Struthio camelus: one gene and its partners. The protein of the gene in region 2 interacts with the protein of the main gene of each other region in a biochemical or structural test. Links are inferred from orthologs where the notes say so. Each region holds a gene or a part of one and is shown on either strand. Other genes may lie near its edges.

Region 1 (7,004 bases), on a different chromosome or scaffold from region 2:
GACAGACTTGCAGTTTGTCATGGGCCTACTTTCTGGGTTAAATAATGGGAAGGAGAGCAATTATTATTACCTTAATGCTAACTAAAGAAAAATAGTAAACATGTGTGATATTTTGGATCTACTGTATTTTAAAACTTTGCTAACAAAGACATATTTCCTACTCCAGTTCTGACCTTAATTTCTTTGTTTAAATTTCTATAGTTTAATCAACTGTGTAGGAAAAACAGCTATGCAAACTGCGTGCACAGTCAGTACCCTGAATGTCTGAACAAGGGAGGGAACGGCGCCTGAAGGCTGAGAGGCTTTGTGCTCTGTGGAAACGGGAGACTGTCTGACATCCCAGCCCCGGGCTAAACCCTTAACACGAAGCGGCTTAGGGTTGCGCTCTGCAGCATGCAAGACCTGTGCGCTTACAAAATGCAAGGTGTTGGTGGCTGCAAAAAGGAGGGTCTGGTTTATGCATCCTTGCGAGGTGCTTTAGGTTCAACTCTAAAGGTGGAAGGTCCAACCATAGTGGAAGGTTTTGTTATGAGAAATAGTGTGTAGAAGATGAAAGATGTTAAGAATAACTCACCGAAAGCCAGTTCAACTATTTGTTTGTTAAAGGTGAGAAATTTGAATAATTCCTGATACTAATTTCAGGAGCAGCGGGTTCAATCAAGTTGAGAAAAATCAAAGCTTAACTAAAACTCACATCCTTTTCTTAATATGATTGATGTATTAATATGATTGCAAAGAGATGTATACAGAAAACAGCTCTTTCAAAGAAATCACTAGCTTTTTATTTTAAATGCACAAAGATTGTGGTTAACCAGAAGTAATGAGAAATATCTCATTTAGTGACAAACCAGCACTTCTCTGCATTCTTGTCTAACACACAGGCTTGGATAACGCTCAGGTGTCTGTTGCAAATAAGTAGAATCCAACCATGGAGAATTCACAGGCATCTAGTTACTCATGTTGCCTCATAATATTTCATATGTACAAGGACTGACTTGCACAGGACTAAGAAAAAACTTAGCACCAAGGAGCAATTCGAATGCAGACTCTCTCCGAGGTCTCATTGCTGCTGATGAGAATCAAAAGCAGTTTTGACTGAATTGCTCATTATCATAGCAAAAATATCAAGGATATATGGGCAACCTCTGAGTACATATTTTCACAAAGCTTTTCAATAGGCATGTCAGTATTGCCAATATCTTTCTCTGTATTGAGAGGATTCCCTCGGGAGTCATGAGAAAACAGTAAAATGAGGTGCAGTGTAGCTTCTCTGCTGAAATGATAACTTGCCATGGACAACGATGCTTCACTTCCTTCACTTGGAACTGGTTAAGGAAGAAGCGATGGAGAAGGGATCCATGCCATTCATAAGATCAGAAACAGGTTTGTACCGTGATGTTCATATAGGTCATTTCTGGTTATTGCTACTGCTTTTTTCAAAAGCATACAGAAAGAAAAGGGAGTCCTAAGTTAAAAGGGAGCCTTTCTGAAGCGCTGCCCTGGCTGGGTTAGTGGTGTGCTGAGATGCTCTGCCACCACGCGTTACCGTTCAGAAACGCCTCCAAGTTCTGTCAGTGCCGTGTTTGATTTATGCCAGATGCCTGCCTATCTCTTCCTGCCTGGCCAATCCAGGAGTTGCACTTAGTCAAAAGATACAATAGCCACTATCACAAAACCTGGCAGGGGCATTCTTGAGATATAAATAGGGTGAATGTTGTACTTGGAGTGCTATTTAGCCAATTATTCGTTAATTCAAAATTACATACGGTGCACAATACACAGAATAATGCATCCACAAACATCCTGGGGGTCTTAAGCAGTTGGGGTATTATGTGGAGCAAAGACATGTCCCCTCTTGTGCTTTTTTCCCATCTTTTAGGAGAAAGTGCTGACATCTATAGCAAAAACTGGTCATGCCTTGAAGGCCTCGGTACAGAATGACTTCTGTTAATCTTCTGTTCATAGGGGCCAGGGCTGTGGGAGTTAGACCAAAGATGCACTGTATTGTGCCGGTCATTTTAGTAAGGAACAGAGATACAAAAAACAACGGTAGCTCTAGAAATTTGAAATTGCTTCTCTTCATAGCTGTCTGCATAGATGAACATTCGTTATGGAAAATCACACATGTAGCTTATATAGAAGGGGAGGACAAACAAAACTCTTCATCCTAAAATCTGGTGTACATTAGTTATGGGAACATCAGTAAGGCACAGTGTGTTCCAAAAGACTTTAGCACACGGAAGAGTAAGAGCTTCTCTATGAAACGGCCACAAGAGTTGGTATCACATGGGCAAATCAGCTTGTTTGCTGGGTCTCCTTCTCAGGAAACGATACACCGGGAATCCCCCAAAACTTTCGGGCCTTGCGTAAACATCTGACACAAAGGTTTTCAATCCGAATCCTTCAAGTTTGGCAAAGTTATAAGCAACTAGAAATAGAGTATCAGAATGAAAAACAGCAGGCAGTTTTAAACTTAGCTGGCACTGTGACCTCTGTTTGTGTTTGAGGGAGGAGAGGTTTCCGAATCTGAAAGGTTCCTCTCCAAAATTATAGACATCCTGCAGTCACTTAAAATAGTGTGCATTTTGCCATAAATGCCTCACGCCCATCAGCTTTTTCACTTTAAAGCAAACCAACCTTTGCCTTTCTTTCTGCCTCCTTCCCTATCTAACCAGTTCTCTGTTTTCTTACATTCTCAAAACTTGTAGAGAAATCAAGCTATACAGTTACTCTGGCAGAATTATTCCTCATTTACTTCACTATTACAGAGAAAAAAAAGCCACAGGAACTATGCATCGAAAAAGGTCAGCGATTAGCATAGCTATAATAAACCTGGTCTTTAGTTTTTCCATTTAAGAACACAGCTAGATTCTTTGAAGAGTTAAAAATATTTTATGTGCTCAAATCTTCCAAACGGGAAAGAAGTTCGTACACATTGGATTCCTTATCTTGTAGCAGCTCTTGGATGCTCAAACGAAAGTCTGCTAAGTTGTGGCTTTGCAGGATTTGCGCTCTTTTTGTAGGATCGAGCTCTGTAGGCGTGTAGACATTCGGGAGGCGAGAATGATTCCTCAGGTGCTGCGCACACAGCTGGCGTGTCCTTAGTCCTGCTGGTGGTTGCACGTACAGATGCTGTCTGGGCAGCTGCCTGCTCTTCGTTGAAATGCCTGTGAAAAAAAGGCCTGTTTGGCAGGTTCCTGGCAAATACTGTTTGACAGGGCGAGGGCAGAGCAGTTTCCAAACACCTGAGCCGTCCTGCATCTGTTCAAGGCCTAGTGCTACGGCAGGCAATTATTAGCCGAAATGTCGTGCCAGAAAGGGAATATCAGTTCTGGAGGTGGGTCTGCACGAAGCAAACCCTGTCTCATCTGTAAGACACAGAGCTGCCGTATCACAGGACAAAGTAAGGCTCTGACTAATGAAATTATGGTCCTCAAACCATTTTGGCAAATGTTTGGCTCTGTGCCCATGAGTCCCCAGGCATATGAGATTAAGCTGGACCAGTTATTACCCGCGAGAAAGTGAACTCTTCCCATGAGGAAATTGTGTCCTGGAGCTGAAAACCCCTGGTATACAGTTTCATCAAAATCCCAGTGATCCTGCAAGCAGCTTTATTTTTTGACAAACTTGTGTTTTCTGGTGAAGAAGATTAATCAAAAGCAGCCTGACTAGCCAGGCTCACTAGTCCTTTGCCACTTAGCAGGGACTTGTTCTTCATCCAACTGGGATGACTAAAAACAGGCCTGCAGATACGCTGCGCTATTAAGATCCTGATTACCACCATGATTACTCGGGTATTTGGGCAACCCCAGCGCAACCTCAGAAACATTAGGAACATGATCAGTTGCTCGGGAGCGAGGAGAAGAGAAAATGAACTCTGCAGGAAAATCACCAAGAAAAAAAGGAAATCAGCGGTGGGTGAAGCAGGGCAGAGCCGCAGCCGGCTGCCGGCTGCCTGGCTCTCCCGGGAGATGCGCCAGCTCCGGCGGCCTTTGCCCGGGCACAAGCAGCTCCTTCATCAGCGGCAGGGAACGAGGAGGGCGGGCGTCCGGGGAGCAGCCAGCGCGGCGGGGTCGGTGCCGGGCAGCCCCGCGCTCCTCCCCACCAGCAGCGCTCCCTCCCCGTCCCGCTCGGCCGCCCTGCGCTTCCCGGGACGGCAGCACTTCCAGGCACCGCCCGGTCTCTTTCCCTCACCAGGTATTTCCCTTCTCTCCCTCCCACCCCCAACTTTTTTTGTTTTTCAGTATCTCATTCCAGCTCCCTCCCGCTCGCCGTGGGAAATCAGGGCGCGGGGGGGTCCTCTGGCTCTGCGCGGCGGGTGAGGCGCCCACGGGGGCCGTGCAGGGCTCCAGCGCTGTGCTAGGACTTTTCGGCAGGATGCAGAACAGCTCCCGAAGCCCGTGCGAGGAGGGGTTTAGGCCGCGCGCGGAGGCCGGCCGCGCAGCAAAAGCTCGTTACGGCACAACTTGCTCGGTGGCAGCGCTCGGCAGAGGGTGTGAAACCCCTGGCGTTTGGGAGGGAGCTCAGAGGCGCGATAAGCCTCAGCTCCCTCTGCGCTTTTTGCTCTCGGCCGAACAGAAATGGAAAACAAGTTTTCCTTGCCCGGGCAGAAGCAAGAGCACCGCTTGGCTCGGGGGCCTGCTGCGGCCGAGGTTACTGCCGCTCATAACCAACAGCGCGGGCACAACCTTCCTTGCTTTAACAGGCATTTCCCAAGCACGCTGCTGGGACCAGCTACCTCAAAGCGTGTGAGGAGGAGAGGCCGAGGAGCTGGAGGCCTCCCCGGTAGCCTCGGACTCTCCCCTACAAGCGGCTCAGATGCAGGTGGCGGTGCTGGGAGCGTGCGTGGACCCAGCGGGAAGGCTGAGGAGGGTCCCGGACAGCTTCCCGCCCTGCGGCGCCCCTCGCTCGGGGAAGGGGGTGTCTTTGCCTCCGGCCCGCGACGAAGAGGCGTCAGCCCCCCTCAGCTCGCTGGGTCAGGCAACGGGGAGCAAAGCCGAGGGGGCTGGTAAAACGCGGAGGTAGATAAATCTACCAGTGATCTGCCAAAAAAGAGTGTAAGCATGTTTTTTCGGCCTGGTCCCCGGGCCGGGCTGTCAGGCACGCTGACAGAGGTCAGTCTGCCGGGGGAGGCAGCCACATGGAGAACAGGCCACGGCGAGGGGGCCGTGCCGGTAAAGCAAAGCTGTCACAGCAAAAGCTTTAGGCTGAGGCATCCCTCTTCGGGCTGAGGGATGCCTGTTTCCCAGGTCTGTCTGAGCCGGAGAGACCGCTGAAGAGGCAGCCCGCCCAGACAGCTGGCCAAAGGGCCGGGCACCTGGGCACGTAGCCGTATTAATCATTTTATCCACCGCTAAAACGAGGCTAACTGGGGCGGCTAGCGGTGCTCGGGCGACGCGGGAGCTAAGAAAGGAAAAAGAACAGATCTCGTTTGAAAAGCTGCAGTTTAGGCCCTCCACGGGTCGTCACACACGGCTGAGCTTGTCTCACCGCCTGCAAGAGCTGGAAGACTGAGTCACACCACGAAATACCACGGTATTTTTACCGAGAATATCATTCTGGCCTTGGAGGGGCAGGAGGGGGGCAGGGGCCGTGCAGCCTGCGGCGGGGAGTTGGTAGCCGCTTTGCTGGGGAATCGCCTGTGCCTCTGACTCCTCCTCGCTCTTCTTGGTTTCGGTCCCAATCTTCTGGCGCCAAGAACGGGCAAAGAGCTAAGCGGCACCTAGCTCCCCCCACCCTCCCGCCAAAACCCTGGTTGCTGCAACTGGTTTTGCTTTTTAATATCGATTTTTGCAAAACTCTCAGCAAAAGCCAGCCTGGGTGGGGGGTGGGGGTGAGGGTGGTGAGACTTGCCAACTAGGATTGAGCTGGCATGCCACATGGGATAAAAATAGGCTATCCTCATGTGCCTCCTCGGGTAGGTCCACAGCCCCTGCCAAGACGGCTGTGCTGCCAGCCGCACGAGCGCAGGTAACTCTTACTCTCATTGCCGTGTTGTTAGCTCTGTAAAACCCACTCTGCTTGCTTATACAAGCTGGGTAGCCTCTAGCCTCTGTTTGGCACCAGTTTTTGGCATATTAGGAGGTTAAGGCCTGATTTGCCCCTGTACAGCAGCAGTAAGCACTAGGAAAAAAAGGGCTGGTTAGTTTTTCAGTTGTGAGTTGTGGGTGGCCGTGGGAGGTCAGTCGGGAAATCCGATCTCCATCGTGGGCCGAGGGCTTCAGCGAGCGTCAAACAAGAGAGGTGAGGGGCAACTAAGCCTGGGTCTTTGGCAGATGAATAACGTGTCCGTCATGTATGTCCCAGGGGCGGCTGACGAAGCAGGACTGGGTTCATCCCCGGATTGCTCTGAGGCTGTGAAAGTACTCGGTGGGCATGCAGAGAGCGGCATACAATTTCCACTACAGCTGCCAGTGGTGAACGAAACGGTTTGTTGTTAATTACAATGCTGTGAGACACTTTTTTTCAGAACCTACTTCTTTAACCAAAGCAATTTCTGAATTAAAACTCCCCTCATTTTCGGTTACTTTTTTTTCTTGTTCTGTTTCTAAATAAAAAGACTAGTGCAAAATATTTTGGAGAATGCGGGAGAGAAGTACAAACCGCATGACCTGCCAAACGGGAACCACTCTGACATTCTGTAGAAATTCCTTTTGCAGTTGGTTCAAGCAGTGCCTCGTCTAGGAGGCTCTGGGGCAGTGGCTGAGCTGAGAGACGAAGCTGACGTTCGAATCAGTATTTTTGCAGATTGGGTTTCTGGGTGGCAGCAATACAGGTCCAAGGTTTTGGTGCAGGGTTCATCTTTACCCCAGTGCAGTGCCCTTTTTCTCTGCTGCGTGGGCACTTTCATAGCTGGCTTGCAGCCGAAGATAGAATAATTAACAGGAAGACTCTTAAGCGTTGCCCTGAGAGGGAGAACAGGGGCTGTAACGACGCTCAGCTGCAATGCCATGACGGGCGACGGTGCCTTGTCCTCTCTCCCTTCCTACGCAGCAGGAACATCA
Region 2 (7,860 bases):
TCATCTGATAGTCTTACAAACAAACTAGGAAGCATTGGAAAATAGGTAGATGAGTCTACTGAAAATACTGTTAGGAGAGTCTGATGCTGACTGCCCGCCTAATCTAAGATTAGTTTTTAATGATACATTGTCTAACAGGAAAAATGTGTCAAGAAGAAGGTCTGCACAGATCTGTCCTCAGAGTGGTACTACTTAATAGTTTCTTCAGTGATTTATTTAGTGGATTAGAAAGTGTGCCTATCAAATTTGCAGACAACACTAACCTGTGAAGGTTGCAATGAATTTGGAAGACAAGATCAGTATTCAAATGATCTTCCCAAATGGGAGATATGGCCTGAAAGAATAGAACACAATTTATAAGGCAAATGCGAAGTTCTACGCTTGGAAAGGAATAGGATGGAGAAAAGGCTAGGCAGAGACCTTCATCCTACATGACATTATAAGACAGGGAAATGGCTAGGCAGAGACCTCCAGTCTGTCAGTGGTCTCCATCAGGCTCAGGGCCTTCAGCAGGGTACGACCCTCAGACTGACAATGGCAGAGTGATGCAGAGCCCAGAACAGCCTTTTCTGGAACTGTACCATCTGCTTTCCTCACCTCTCCAAGAGTTACTGAGGTTCTTTTGATATTTTACTTCTCACTGCCAAAATATTTACACTTTGCACGCAAGGCCTCATTCGCTTTATTACTCTGTCTGCTGACTGTACAGAATCACAGAATAGCTGAGGTTGGAAGGGACCTCTGGAAATCATCTGGTCCAGCCCCCATGCTTAAGCAGGGTTAGCTAGAGTTGCCCAGGACTGTGCCCGGTCAGGTCTTGAATATTCCTAGGGATGGAGACCCCACAGCCTCTCTGGGTAACGTGCTCCAGTCTTCAACAACTCTCACAGTGAAAAAAGTGTTTTCTTATGTTCAGATGGAATTTCATGTGTTTCAGTTGGTGCCTATTGCCTTTTGTCCTGTCACTGGTCACCACTGAGAAGAATCTGGCTCCATCTTCTCTATGCTCTCCCTTCAGATATTTATACACATCAATAAGATCCGCCCCTCCCCCCCCCCCAGCGTTCTCTTCTCCAGGCTGAACAGTCCCAGCTTTCTCAACCTCTCCCTGTATGCCAGATATTCCAGTCCCTTAATCACCTCTGTGGCCCTTTGCTGGACTCACTCTGGTAAATCCATGTCTGTCTTGTACTGTGGAGCCCAGAACTGGACACAGTACTCCAGATGTGGCCTCACTAGTGCTGAGGAGAGGGGAAGGATCACCTCCCTCGATCTGCTGGCAATGCTCTTCCTAATGCAGTGCAGAATACTATTAGCCTTCTCTGCTGCAAGGGCACATTATTGGCTCATGCTCGCCTTGCTGTCCACTAGGATCCCCAGGTCCTTCTCTGCAAAGCTGCTCTCCAGCTGGTCAGCCCTCAGCCTGTACTAGTGCAATTCCTCTTCAGCTGCAGGACTTGCGCTTCCCTTTATTGAACTTCATGAGGTCTCTCTCTGCCCATTTCTCAAGCCTGCTGAGGTCCTTCTAAATGACAGAACAACCCTCTAGTGTATCAGCCAGTCCTCGCAGATTTGTGACACCTGCCAATGCGCTGAGGGTGCATTTGGTCCCATCATCCAAGTCATGAATAAAGATGTTAAACAGTATTAGACCCAGTATCAACCCCTGGGGGACACGACCAGTGACTGGCCTCCAGCTGAACTTCATGCTGCTGATCACAAGTTTCTGAGCTCGGCAGTTCAACCAGTTTTCAGTTCACCTCACTGACCACTTATTTGTTCTATCACCTTCCCGGGGATCAAGGTGAAGCTGACCAGCCTGTAGTTTCCCTGATCCTCCTTCTTGCCCTTCTTGAAGGTAGGGGGTGACATTTGCTTTCTTCCAGGCCTCTGGAACCTCTCTCGATCACCAAGACCTTTCAAAGATAATCAAGAGTGGCTTTGCAATGACATCAGCCTGCTCCTTCTGAACTTGCAGGTGCATCTCATCAGGGGCCAAGGACTTGTGTATATCCAGTTTGTTTAAGTGTTCTTTAATGTGATCCTCCTCCAGCAAGAGAGTCTCCCTTTCTCCAGACTTCTCCTCTGGTCTCAGGGGCTTGGGATTCCTAAGGGCCAGTCTTACCAGTAAGGACTGAGGCGAAGAAGGCATTCAGTACCTCTGCCTTTTTGGTGTCCTTTGTCACCAGTGCCTCTGTCTCCTTTAGTAGCGGGCCCAGATTTTCCCTAGCCTTCCTTTTGCTGCTTATGTACTTATAGAAGTCTTTTTGCCTTTCACGTCCCCTTCCAGCTTCAACTCTAGCTGGACTTTAGCTTTAGCTCTCTTAATCCCATCTCTGCCTGCTCATATAGTATCTTTGTATCCCTCCTCCAGCTTCCAGTTCTTGTACACTTCCTTTCTATGTTTGAGTTTAGTCAGGAGCTCCTTGTTCATCTATGCAGGTCTCCTGCTGCCTTTGCTTGATTTCCTGCTCATGGGGATGGACCATTCTTAAGCTTGGAGGAGGTGATCCTTGAATATCAACCGACTCTCTTGGACCCCTCTTTCCTCAGGGTTTTATTCCATGGGATTCTTCCAGGCATGTGTCTGAACAGACTGAAGTCTTCTCTCCTGACTTTAGATTGGACCTTTTGCTTTCTACCTTCTTATGCTTTCTGCAAACAGAAATAATTGTGGCTTCAGCAGGAAATTCACCCACCGACAGCTATAGCTGTCGTGGTCCTACATGCTTTGCCACTACTGCCACTTCTGATTCCTTTAGTTGCAGCACAGTCTCTTAGCGCTGAAAAGGATAAATGAGCATCTGACTTTTGTTCCTGGCTCTTTTGCTCTGGGTCTAAGACCCAGACAGCCTCACCCTGCAAGGTCTGTTCCTATTCCTTTTTGGGGGGGGGGGGGGGGAGAGGGGCAGCCACTCCTCACTCTCTAGCCTTAGGACAACGGCAAACCGTGTGATTGAAAGTCAAGCTGTGGAAGATACTTCTCCAAGGCCTCCTACAGGCTATCTTCAGACTGGTGCAAATGATACTGTCACATTTTCAGTAGATCAAAGGGTTTTAATGTTAGAACTGGTTCAGTGGTGTGCAGAGTCATAGTGCTGTTTTGCAGGAGTCTGGGTGTGCCTGAAGGGAGCCAAGAGCCAGGGAAAAGGCACTGTCTTCCCATGAGAAGAGAAAGATGGGAGGGCAAAAGAAGAGAGGCTGTATTTCTTTGTGTCTTGTTGCTACAGGCAGCAGAAATGAGAGCGGGTACATTTCCTATGGTGCCTGTTCTTGCTCTCCAGGCTGAGGAATGGAGGCAGTGATGCCATTCTTGTTGAGCTGTCTTTGCGTCTCCCTGCCCTAAACCAGTAAGACAGGCTGAACAGGTATCATAAGCTAGTGTCATGGATGCACCTCAAGATCCTGACACAAATGCTTATGAGTCAAAGCTGCTTCACCTGCAGTTCTTCACTGCTCCTTCACTTGCTTTTGGATTTTGCCCATGCCTTATTATCTCACTGCCTACACTCTTCCTATCTACAGCTTTGTTCAGTCTACTGTTTTCCCTAGGATCAGCACTGTCTCCATCTGTTTTTCTTAAACATAATTGAGGAGTCTCTCCAAAAGCCTCTTCCCTCTGTCTCTTTTCACAGGCTCTTACTGACCCTCGATCCTACTACACATGTATAGGAATAGCATTTTTTAATAGTTGGCAAGTCTTGTTTTTCATTCCAGGAGCTTCACACTGGAAGGACCAGGTTGGTCCTAGGTTGACTACAACTTGCAGGCAAGTAGAGAGCAATATCATAAGGCAGACATCTAGAAGAAAGAAATGTATTTCACCAGCTTTACATGACACATGCAGCCTAGGGCTCTATGTGTAAGAGCGGTCATGTCAATGGCTTTTCAAGTGTTGATGTCTTAATGCAGCTGCCTGCCAGATGTAGGGTGCTTCCTTCCACATTAGTGCCTGAACTGATGTCAGAAGCGGGCATTCAAAGTGAATCTTCCAGTCATCCTCACTTGCTGTGCTTTGGTTCATATTGCAGAACAGTCTCAGAGTGTGCAAACTAGACTCCTCTCAGAGGAAACTAAGCTAGTAGATGTGCCCTGAGAGCATACCTAATGCACTTCAAGCACTAATTGCTGTTCAGTCCATGGGGTCAGGGAAGAGATAATCCAAAGCAAACCGCTCAAACATGTTTGGTATAGATCTAGGCTCTCCAGCCCCAACTGTATCTCTGAAGAGATTTGTTTCCCTTGAACCATGCTGCTTGCCATAGACGTCATGTGAATTTCAAAGCTGTGAGGGGAGCAGTCAAGAAGATCTACTGCCAAGGAATACAGTGTCTAAAACAGCACTGGACATCAGCTTTTAGTCAGATGAACTGCATCTAGGAAGCGTGGCAGGGATGTTACAGAGGAACATATTCCTTTTGAGAAGGAGGAGACAGGATTTGATTCTTCAAATACTTTTTAAAGCACCCTAATGTCACAGGAGGCAGCATACATCGTGCAAACCCCTCTTCGTGGTTCTCCCTTTCTTTTAGAAGCTATGATTGTATCAGCTCCGATTTCTCCGGTGCTCTTCCTTTGGGATCACACATGTGGCAAAAGGGATGAAAACTTTTAAGGAGTTGACATTTCTATGGCTTATCTAATGGCTACTATGTATCTATGGCTACTACATACTTTTCAGCTAAATGCACAGTTTTTACCTGTTACCACCAGCTGCAATATTTTAGCGGCCCGAGAGCCTTGCCTCCCATCCTCCTCCCCGCCGGCCAGCACCGGCTGGGTGCAGACCTCGCGCTCGGAGCAGCCCCTGCGCGCCGGGAGCCGGCGGGGCACTGCCCCTTTAACGGGCGCCGCTGGTGCCTGCTCCTTTAAGGATTAGCCCCGCCCCGCCGTGCCCCGTGAGCGTCGCAAGCCCTGGCGGACCCACGGTAAGGCACTAGACGGGGGGAGCCCCCCGGGCCGCGCCATCCTGCCCGGGCGGCGCGGGGGGTCCCGCCGCCCGGGCTGGTGGCCCGGGAGGGACTGGCGGGCGGGCGGGCGGGGGCTGCGAGGCTGGGCGGGGGCGCTGCGGCCTTGCCACCCTGGCGAGGGGGCTCCTCTGGCGGGCGAGTCGAGGAAGAGAGGGAGGGGGGGAGACGCTGCCAGCCTGTGGGGCGCCGCTGCCCGGCAGCGGCAGGGCGCGGGGCTCCTGCGCGTCGCTGGTGACTGTGCCCGCCCGGGCTGCCCTCGGCCGAGCAGGCGCCGTGGCGGCCCGTCGCGGAGCCAGGGCTCTGCGCCAGGACCTGCCCCGGGGCGGGGGGGCCTGGCGCCCCCTCCCCCCCCCCCGCAGCTCACATGCTTCCGGCGCGACCGGGCCGGCCGGGCGGGGGCGGCGGCCGTAGCCATGTCGCTCACGGCGGGGCCTGCGCGCGTGTCGGTGTCGCCCGGCGCCAGGTGAGGCCCGGCGGGGTTTGGCGCCATGGCCATGAGGGAGCTGGTGGAACCGGAGTGCGGGAGCTCCAACGCCCTCATGAAGCTGGCCGGCCACTTCACGCAGGACAAAGCCTTGCGGCAGGAAGGACTCCAGGGCCCCCTGAGCTGGCCCGGGGGGGCCCCCGGCGCCGGAGCCGTGAGTGCCGCGGCGATGGGGCGGGCTGGGGCCTGCCCGCGGTGGGGGGCGGTGAGCGCGGAGTGGGGGCGTGCAGGCCGGAGGGACTCTGGGGGCCCTACTGGTTTTTTGGGGGGGATATGGATGGCTGCGGTGGACTGCGTGCCTTACTGCCGTGGGGGTCGGCCCAGAGCGGGAGCAGTTAGGCAAACATCGCTGGGGCTGTTTCTTCTCCTTCGGCTTCTGCGTAAGCAGGCAGGTAGTGCTAAGAAAGTGCTGCTAGCCTAACTTCGAGGAAGAGGAGGATGTGAATTTATCAGGCCTTGGTGTGTGAGGTGTACAGTGTCAAAGCTGTTGGGGTGATTGCCCACTGTTCCCTGCAGGTATCCAAACCGCTGGGAGTGGCCTCTGAAGATGAGGTAAGAACAGGCTGATATATTTCCTTACTACTTTTTCTCTTAACACTTCAGTTGATACTTTTTTTCTCTGTTTGTTCTTTCTTTCTACCTAGCCTGCTCCTTTCTCGCATGCTCCATTACTTTGCCTGTTTGTCTTCTGCACTATATTCACTCTCCATCTGTCTCTTTCGCAGTTGGTTGGAGAGTTCCTGCAAGAGCAGAATGCCCCTTTACTGTCCCGTGCACCCCAGACCTTTAAGATGGATGACCTGTTGGCTGAGATGCAGGAGATTGAGCAGTCAAACTTCCGACAGGCCCCTCAGCGAGGTGAGAGGCGCTGCAGTATGTGGAGAGCAGGAAAAGACCTTTGTAGTTTGGTTAGGCTCCCAGTAGGTTGGGTCCCCTCTATTCAGCACTTGTGAGATGATGTCAGGGGGCTGAAATACATGATGGAAGAGGAAAGGTTGAGGGAACTGTGTCTGTTCAGCTTGGAGAAGAGGATTCTAATTGCTAAGATGGGATCTAATTGCTGCCTTCAGCTACGTAATGGGGAGACAGAGCCAGAATCTTTGCAGTCATGTACAACAAAAGGACAAGAAGCAGTGGGGACGAGTTGTAAAAAGGGAAACTGTCTATAGATGTAAGGAAAAGTTTCTTTCCTTGGAGGATGATTCAGCACTGGAACAGGTACCCAGAAAGACCAGGGAATCGCCATCCTTGGAGATGTTCAGTAGTTGCCTGGACAAGCCCCTGAGCAACCTGATCCAGCTTTGGAGTTACCCTGCTGTGAGAAGACTGGAGACCTGCAGAGCTCCCTTTCAAGTGAAATCTTCCTGTGATTCTGGTCTAACAGAGAGAAAGGGACCTGATCAGAGAAGATGATGGCTATCTGAAGGAGCCTGAGACATTTAAATCATGTCTCTGAGTCCTCCCATCCTCATGTATGTTTTTCTTCCTGTAGCTCCAGGTGTGGCAGCCTTGGCGCTGTCTGAAAACTGGACCCAGGAGTTCTTGGCTCAGGCAGATGGCACTGGTGATGTCTCTTCAGACTACAACGAGGCTGACTGGTCACAGGAGTTCATAGCTGAAGTGACAGGTGACGACTCCCTTTTGGAAGTAAGGCTGAGGTGTTGCCCAGTCGCATGTTTTTGTACAGTGGAGAGTTAAGTTACTGGATATGAAATTGGAGTAACTGTTTGGGCCCAAGAAGTCAGTGTTTTTTGTAGTAGTGTGAACATGAAAAGAAGCTGCTTTGGAATAGCTTAGCCAAATTGCTCGCTATCCGGTGAGGATGCTCCTATTCAGGTGTAAGGGGCTTTTTTTTTTTTTTTTTTTTAGCCAGGATTACTTGCAAAACTTAGTAGAAGCAGGCTATTCAAACTGTTTTTATAAAAAAAAAAAAAAAAATATGATTCAAACCGCTGCAAATTCTGGAGGTGGGCTGGTACTGCTTCTTCTTGTTTATGTGTGTTTCTGACCCATAGGATAAGCTCTGTGTTCCAAGCAAGGTACTAGTTTATCTGAAAAGCCATCTTGCTTTGTGTACAGAGCTGTGACCATCTATGACCTAGCTTGGAAATGATGGGAACGATTTAAATAGATGCTATTCTCTTCCCCCAGGAGTAGCCACTGTAGAGAGCCAGGTAGACCCATTCACTCACCTTCTCTCTTTATATTCCTGGGAGTAGGTACCATAAAGCCTCAACGCTTGCTAGGGCCTGATGGAAAGCACTAGAGACTTGTAATAAATTGCTAATTTTCCTGACCTACATGGCATCTCACACAGAGCAACAGAGTAAATTGTGAAATTGAAGTAGGAAATCCTAAGGACGCTGGCATATTACTGCAGTGGCATCTCTCTGAGGAGACTCTCTG
Region 3 (7,017 bases), on a different chromosome or scaffold from region 2:
GAGTCCACAACTAATTCTTTTAATAACTCAAGCATTAGACAGTCCATTACAATTTTCAAGCTTGCCTGGTTTACCTCCTGAGTGTGCTCTTTATAGACTTGCAGTGGACCTGTGGTTTTAGCGGTATCCCAGATTTGCAGAGATCCATCCCCACTAGAAGTGATGAGCACATGTTCATTATTCTCACTCCACGTCACATCAAATAGACCATCATTCCAGTCAAAACTAAATCAGAACAATCAAGATATTTGTCCATGAGAAAGCGTGACATAAACGTCTGGATAGTTATATGCAGAGACAGTATTTCTTTAAATCACCCTCTTTAGCATTCTAAACATCCTTTTTAAAATATTTGATTTTCCAGTGAATCTCCTTACAAGTAACTTAGTTAATACCATGAAAACTTTTACAAGTGTATGTCAGAATAGGCTGATTAGGTTAAAAGCATAAATGACCCATGGATCTTCAACACAGAGAAACAAATCTGATTGTAATCTTGAATTTTAATAACAGTGGTAAACAAAGAAATAAAAATGTCTGTTTTGGAAAAGCTCTGTCCAATCCAGAACATCAATAAGAAGCTGAGTCAAAATGAAAAGCCAGCAGAAGGACAGTTATGAACATTTTAAAGATCTCCCTACACCCTTAAAAGGGCTTTGACACACCAACAATTCATCCTATGGGGAAAAAAATACCACCCATCAGCTGCTTTGCAGTAACTGCCAATGACCACGCTGCTATCTCATGGTAAATATGAAGTTATTTACCCCGTTCTTACTGAAGGCTCAGCTAAGCTCAAGTTAACTTCATGGGACCCTGCAGCAATTATTAGGAAAAAGCATGCACACCAAAAGTTTCTGTAGAGAGCATGACATAGCTCATGGCTCAGAAAATGACAGGACTTTCTACCACAAAGTAAGTGGAGTCTCTGGAAACATTGAAATGAACATTACTAAACCAGAGCATGTAGCAGAACTAATCGAGTGTTTAACAGCTGCAAATAGGCTTGCTGTATAATTATGAATTTAAAATTGCTTCTCTGAACATGATAAACTACATCATTGTTTGTTACATGTGTCTATTTCAGCTGTCAGAGTAAACTAAACAAATGGTGTTTTACACTTTAAGACATTTTTAAGTGAACAATGGCCGAGTATTAAACCCCCTCCCTCCTAACCTTTCTACTCCTTCTCCCATCCAGAACGCAAGTCAAATTCTTAGAATACCATAGCTCCTAGAAAGCACCTGAATGACTTTGCCCATGCACTTTCTGCTCCATTTCCAATACAGCCATTCAGAAGCGGACAAATTTAGGTGGCAAGGCATTGCTCCTAAAAAGCTAAAACTTCTACTTTCAAGCTAGTAAAAATAAACTTATGTTACCTTCTGAGCAGAACAATCCCAGCTTCATTTTGTTCCAGTACTACCAGAGTTCCACAACCTAAAACAACAAAATAAAACAAATTATCACAATTAATTCCCCCATGCCAGTAGAAGCTAGTGTTCTGGGGTAGTTATACAGTGCAAACATGGATGGCATTTGAATTTCTTTACACCTACAACTAATTGCTTCTGCCATTAACAGCTCCTTTTCTCTGCTTTATGCCTCTAAAATATTTTTTCATTTATATTTTTTTCTCCCAGTACATCTGTGGGTAAGGTTGGAAAAGAAACAACTCACTTGTAAAGAAAGCATAAAACGTGTGTTTCATCCACATGCCTTATGTTACAAGCACACCAGGATGGTGCTCCTTTAGATCTTTTGACAACACAACAAATGCAACACTTTTCTCCCTCTCTCTCTGAAAAGGGTACTTGGTAATACAAATGCAGCTCATCAAAAATAAAATGAAGAATTCAGTTCTAAGAAAATACACACAGGCACTATTCTTCTATGTGACCGGGATAACATCAAAGTAACATTTAGAAGCTTTAGTTAAAATTATCGCTTTTAGAGACAATACTGCTAGAAGAAATGAAAAGGGGTCCAATACTGCAAAAAGCTCAGCTTGGGTTTTCAGCAGGGCTGCAGAGAGCTGCCAGGCCTTGCCCGAACAACTCAATGACTGAGAACAGAATAATTAAAGTTTTAAGGAGAAAATATTTTCAGATACTTTATTTAACCTATGTTTGTCTCCTCTACTATGCATTTACTCCAACTCCTATGAAATCAGTACTCCTCTGAGAAGTTATTATTAGAAGTAAAAAAAAAAAAAAAGGAAAAAGAAGACTTTTTTTTTAAAAAAGTTGTTTTCTATTTTCTTAAGTAGGAAAACCTAGCTGGTGGGCGACTTCGGGGCAAGCATCAGATTTGCAGCTTGTTCTGAAATTAACTGTACTCCACGGAAAGAGAACAGATGCATCAGTTACATCCACGCGAAGCAAAAACAAGAGAAAGGGAAAACATAAAATGCTTCGCAAGCCACTTGCTACACGTGCAGACACACAGGCGCGCAGTTCACGGACTGCCGGTCTCTGAAGGCAGCAAACGTTTGCATGGCTCTTCAGCTCACAGCTCGTGAGCGCGCGGGCCACCCGCTTCACGGCAATCACTGCAGAGAAGCCTGACCTGCTCTTCAGACGTAATTACCGTAATAAAGGAAGACCTTGTGTCTGATAAACAGTAGAACAGCAACCGACCCAAGCCTTGCTGCTTCCAGTTAAGCAGAGCGGCCAACCACCACCGCAAGGCGAGCGCGGCAGCGACGGCCGCCCCCGCCCTGACGCTTCGAGAGGGCGAAACGACTCGACGCAAGCGGTCTCGCCCGCAGGTAACCAGGCCAGACCACTTCTTCCGTTGCTGTTGCTGTTGTTCTTCATTACGTAACAGCGCCGGAAACGCAACCCGCGCACCGCCGGGCGGACAGCCCCGCCGGCGCCCCCCCGGCCCGCCTCTCACCTGCGATGCCGTAGTACTGCGCGGCGGCGCACGCCACGCGCCCCGGCCAGTAGGGCGAGAACTCCGCCGCGTAGCCGTGCAGCCCCGGCAGCCGCAGGGCCCGGCCGCCCGGCGCCCCCATGGCCCGGCCTGTCGCCCCCCCCGGCCCAGGCGGGGACGGAAGGAGGCGCCGCCGCGCCGCGCCGCGCCGCCTCGCCGCGCCCGCGCCGCCCGGCTGGAAGCGCGGGGGCGGCGCTGAGGCCACGCCGCCGCCATCTTTGGTGCTGGCAGGGGCGGTGGCGGAGGCGGGCGGGCCGTGACGCTGCCGCCGCCTCCTGGCGCCGCTCCTCGGGGTCCTCTCGGGGCCGGCCGGGTCGTGTCCGCGGTGGCCCGTGTCCGCTGCGGCTTTCTTCTCGGGTCTCTTCAAAGACAAGCCGTAATTTTAGGCCGTCCTACTCGCTACTACCGCGCAGTGACAGCTATGCCTGCGTGATTCATGTACTCAAAGGTCGTTTGACCAGGACCAGGCCTCCGAGCGCTGACTACCCATTGTTTTGTGATAATTCTGTAAAACTATGTTTGCTAGAGAAAAAGATTTCCAAACTGCGTGGACAGTCCTTTCTTTTATACGCCATGTAAGATACTTAGCACCTCGTTCTCTGTTTGAATAAATGTGATTTTTTGATCTTAGTGGGTATATTGTCATTCTTTCAAAAAGCTCTTCCAAGCTATTTCAGTCTGTCATTTGCTGAGTAGATCTCCGTATATCAGTATGCATGTATTTATCATTCTTTGTTGTGAGGCAGTTACGCTTTATTGAGGTTCTTTCATGAACAAACAAACAAATTTTCTCATACCGATGACAACTTCTATTAAGCTAGTGGGAGTTTTGCCTCTGAAAGGAGGAGGGGTTCGGGCTAAGAAAAATATTTGAGCAGAGCAGCAGCTGCAACTTCTGATATATCTTATCCTATGTGAGATATAGGACTTTAAAATATTCATGGAGATGATTCCAATTGGACATAGGCTACCCTAATAAGTTAAAATGACCAATTTAAATGTGTAGAGATGAATACAGGAAATTCTTATTTTACACATGAAGGAAGTAAGACAAAGGGGAATAAGACAATTTAATCAGAGTCACCTCGTGGAGCTTGGAAGGTAACTACATACTCAGGCTGCTCCTCAGCCTTAAATTTAAACTACAAAACCTATTGTAAACTACAAAATTTATTGTAAAGCCTCATGAATATATAACTCCTTAAACTGACACTCACGTTCCGATCACTGAACTATGCGGTTTTACTAATTATTTGATCTCCTGATAAAAATGAAAACAAATATGTTTATCAAACAGCCTCCAGGATTTTAGAATAAAATCAATCCAAACAGTGCAAGTGAAGCTCAATGTAGCATATCATTGTGCTTATAGTAAGCACAAAAGCTCACAGCAGCTCCTATACTCACAACTACCAATTTGTAGATGGAATTACTGAGAGACATCATTTGAGATGAGTTTTTTTTTAACACTCAAGCAGAGTTTTTTTTTAACACTCAAACACAATGCCTTATTGAATTGACTGCTGCAGGCCGAATTCCACCAACTTTAGCCTCTGCGAAATCTTTTTAAATCAATGTGCCTTTTGGAAGCACACATCACAAGGCAATTTCCTTGGCAGGTGTTTTTAAAGTAATTGTCTTTTGTGACTGCAAAGTCAATAATACCATTCAAAAAGATATATACCCTCTGCAGTGGTATACTAAGTAAATCTGGACGTGGCCTTTTGCAAAGGTTTGCTCTGAGTTCAAGTACTCGGTGGCGTAATCTCCAGCTACTCTATGGACAAGTTACCACGCATACATCCAAGTATTGGAAAAGTTTCATCGTGTGCATTTTCAAAGTAGCCGACAAATCTAGTTCATCTTTTAGAATCAATAAAATTCCACAAAGAGGTTATGCAAGCAGGAAGCTGTCCTTACGACTGGCACAGCTCTGTTTTAAAGACAACTCAGAAAAAAATTAGACACATATCAAGAAGTGGATAGAGGGTTACAAAGAAATCCTGAAAGAAGGACCTAGTTTGTTGTAACACTTCCCTAAACATTTTTTCACAGAAAAGCTTGTGAATTCAGGTTTTTAAGATCCCTAGAAGTAGGAAGCAAAATAATATGCCAAGTAAAAGTATTTACATAGGAAGACTTCAAGGCAGATACACTAACAACTGAAGAAAAAGCTGTTTGACAAGCAGAGAGAAAGATCCAACAAACAAAACTGCTAAACGTGACTGTATTTCCTCCTGAAACAGGTGAGCTAAATTCAAGAAACATGAAAGATGAGAACAGAAATGTTCCAACAGCCAGCCCTTCACCAAAGTTGAGATAAAAACGTGTATGCAGAATGCATCAGTAGGTGGCAGCCATGTTCCACTTAAAAATTGAGATCCCACAGTTCGAGAGAAAAATTCCCTCACAACGCTGAGATTTTTTTCCTAACTCAAGCGCACTTCATTGAACTAAATTCCCATTTAATCAGCATATAACTTTTAGTTACGTTCCTCCTGCAGTCACTTCTCTAAGCCATCTCCCTTGTTAGAGTTAGACTAGGTAGTTGGGATGCTCACAGCAATATCTCTGCACGCAGTTTACCTTCTTCCCAGTCTGCTGAGCTCTGTTCTGTTACAGACATATCTCCACCATTTCCTCAGCTTGCTCACTGACAGCTAGCTTAGGTGTGAGTTGAGCTGGTAACGATCACTGCTGTATATACAAATCCTTAAAAAAAACCTCGCTGGTTGCCAGAAACAGTTATCAGGAAGGCACTAGTCCAAGTACTGAAAGGAATTATGACGAGAGTTTTTCTTCCGGAGAAAGCAGGTTGTGAACTATTCCCTTAGCTGTGAGGATAGGTGGTTTAAAACATTAAGAATACTTAGGGACTGCAGGAGACTTTTTTTCTGCTTTCTAGTTACAGAGCCACTAGGTTGCATGCTATCAAGTTTCTTCTACGATAGTGAGTGCTAACTGACTAATAGGAATGTAGAGATTTTCCCAGGTGAAATTCCTGTGTAATCAATAGGGGCTATGAGTCAAAGCTTTAAGAAAAGCATTTAGTGTCTCAAGGTTCATGGTAAGATTGCAAAAATAGGCAAGAGTGAAAGTAAACAAGGGAAAGTTGGGGAAAGGGGAAAGCAAAGGAGGTTGCAGGAATGAATACAGAGTCACACGGGGAAAGCGAGGTTAGTAGAAGGACAAGGCAGTTAGCATGGACGCTGTCCTGGGGGATTTGAAAGAATAGAAGTAAGAAGAGGGAAACACATTGGAAGGGAGGAAGAAAGACAGGGAGATTTAGCAAGAAGCGTGAGACTTGCCACGGGCACATTTTTCACTACACTTGGTCTGTCGTTCCACAATACACGGGCTTCAAGGCCAGTAATAACTGATGAAATAGCCACCCCCCACCACGTGTCCTTGTTGCTCCATCAGTCTTAGCTGATTACCATTTGTGGGGGCCATGCCATCATTTGATAAGTGAATTTATCATGCTATTACTACTGTTACACGATCAACTGCATCCCTGCAGAATGACCACCAGTCTCTGTTTTCCAGCTTCTTAGTACTTAAGAACTGCTTTAAATGTTTAGTTCCATCCTGCATTTGCCATTCTTTTTAAACTTGGCAGCTGGCACTCTGCTAGCAAAATGCTGCCCTCTCCATATTGAACATAAAGGATACCTCTGATTTTCTACAGTGATATATTTAACTTTCATTTGGTAGAAGATTTAACTTTTAAGAACAATTTGTTTATTTCAGTGATCGTATCTATTTGCTTGTGAGAGTTCTGTTCTAAAGCTCATGGAAACAGGATTAGTTTGTGTACTTTCAAGATCTCTTGTTTGGATTTTTGCATCTGCAAGTTTCTTTATATACTCTGTTTTCCACCCACAATTCAAGCACATTGGACTCTGGTTTTGCAAACTCCTTTTTTCCTGCTTATTAGTGAAAAATTTACAGCGTATCTCTAATCTCTCATTTTTGTATGCTGTCGTATAGTTAAATAAGAGGGTCTTAAAATATGGATGAAATTTAGCATCTGCTTTAAAACCCAATAACCATCAAGAAAACTCAACGGGCATGTTACT

The links.
Region 1: the proteins of PEX5 (region 2) and DDO form a complex in vitro, tested with the Homo sapiens proteins (2 studies listed by BioGRID, with this or other methods). The link is inferred for Struthio camelus from reciprocal best matches to the Homo sapiens genes PEX5 and DDO.
Region 3: the proteins of PEX5 (region 2) and PEX7 form a complex in vitro, tested with the Homo sapiens proteins (3 studies listed by BioGRID). The link is inferred for Struthio camelus from reciprocal best matches to the Homo sapiens genes PEX5 and PEX7.

What each region holds. Positions count from the first base shown.
Region 1 is NC_090944.1:60,569,935-60,576,938, reverse strand, and holds the start of DDO (D-aspartate oxidase), read left to right. Parts: upstream 1-3,925; 5' UTR 3,926-4,197; intron 4,198-5,249; exon of another isoform or gene 5,250-5,535; intron 5,536-5,921; exon of another isoform or gene 5,922-6,306; 5' UTR 6,307-6,428; intron 6,429-7,004. UniProt on the Homo sapiens protein: Selectively catalyzes the oxidative deamination of acidic amino acids. Suppresses the level of D-aspartate in the brain, an amino acid that can act as an agonist for glutamate receptors. Protects the organism from the toxicity of D-amino acids.
Region 2 is NC_090942.1:90,422,129-90,429,988, reverse strand, and holds the start of PEX5 (peroxisomal biogenesis factor 5), read left to right. Parts: upstream 1-4,816; 5' UTR 4,817-4,928; intron 4,929-5,337; exon of another isoform or gene 5,338-5,433; 5' UTR 5,434-5,458; coding exon 5,459-5,608; intron 5,609-5,970; coding exon 5,971-6,006; intron 6,007-6,179; coding exon 6,180-6,312; intron 6,313-6,946; coding exon 6,947-7,081; intron 7,082-7,860.
Region 3 is NC_090944.1:74,137,345-74,144,361, reverse strand, and holds the start of PEX7 (peroxisomal biogenesis factor 7), read right to left. Parts: upstream 3,080-7,017; 5' UTR 3,021-3,079; coding exon 2,900-3,020; intron 1,442-2,899; coding exon 1,384-1,441; intron 226-1,383; coding exon 75-225; intron 1-74. UniProt on the Homo sapiens protein: Receptor required for the peroxisomal import of proteins containing a C-terminal PTS2-type peroxisomal targeting signal. Specifically binds to cargo proteins containing a PTS2 peroxisomal targeting signal in the cytosol.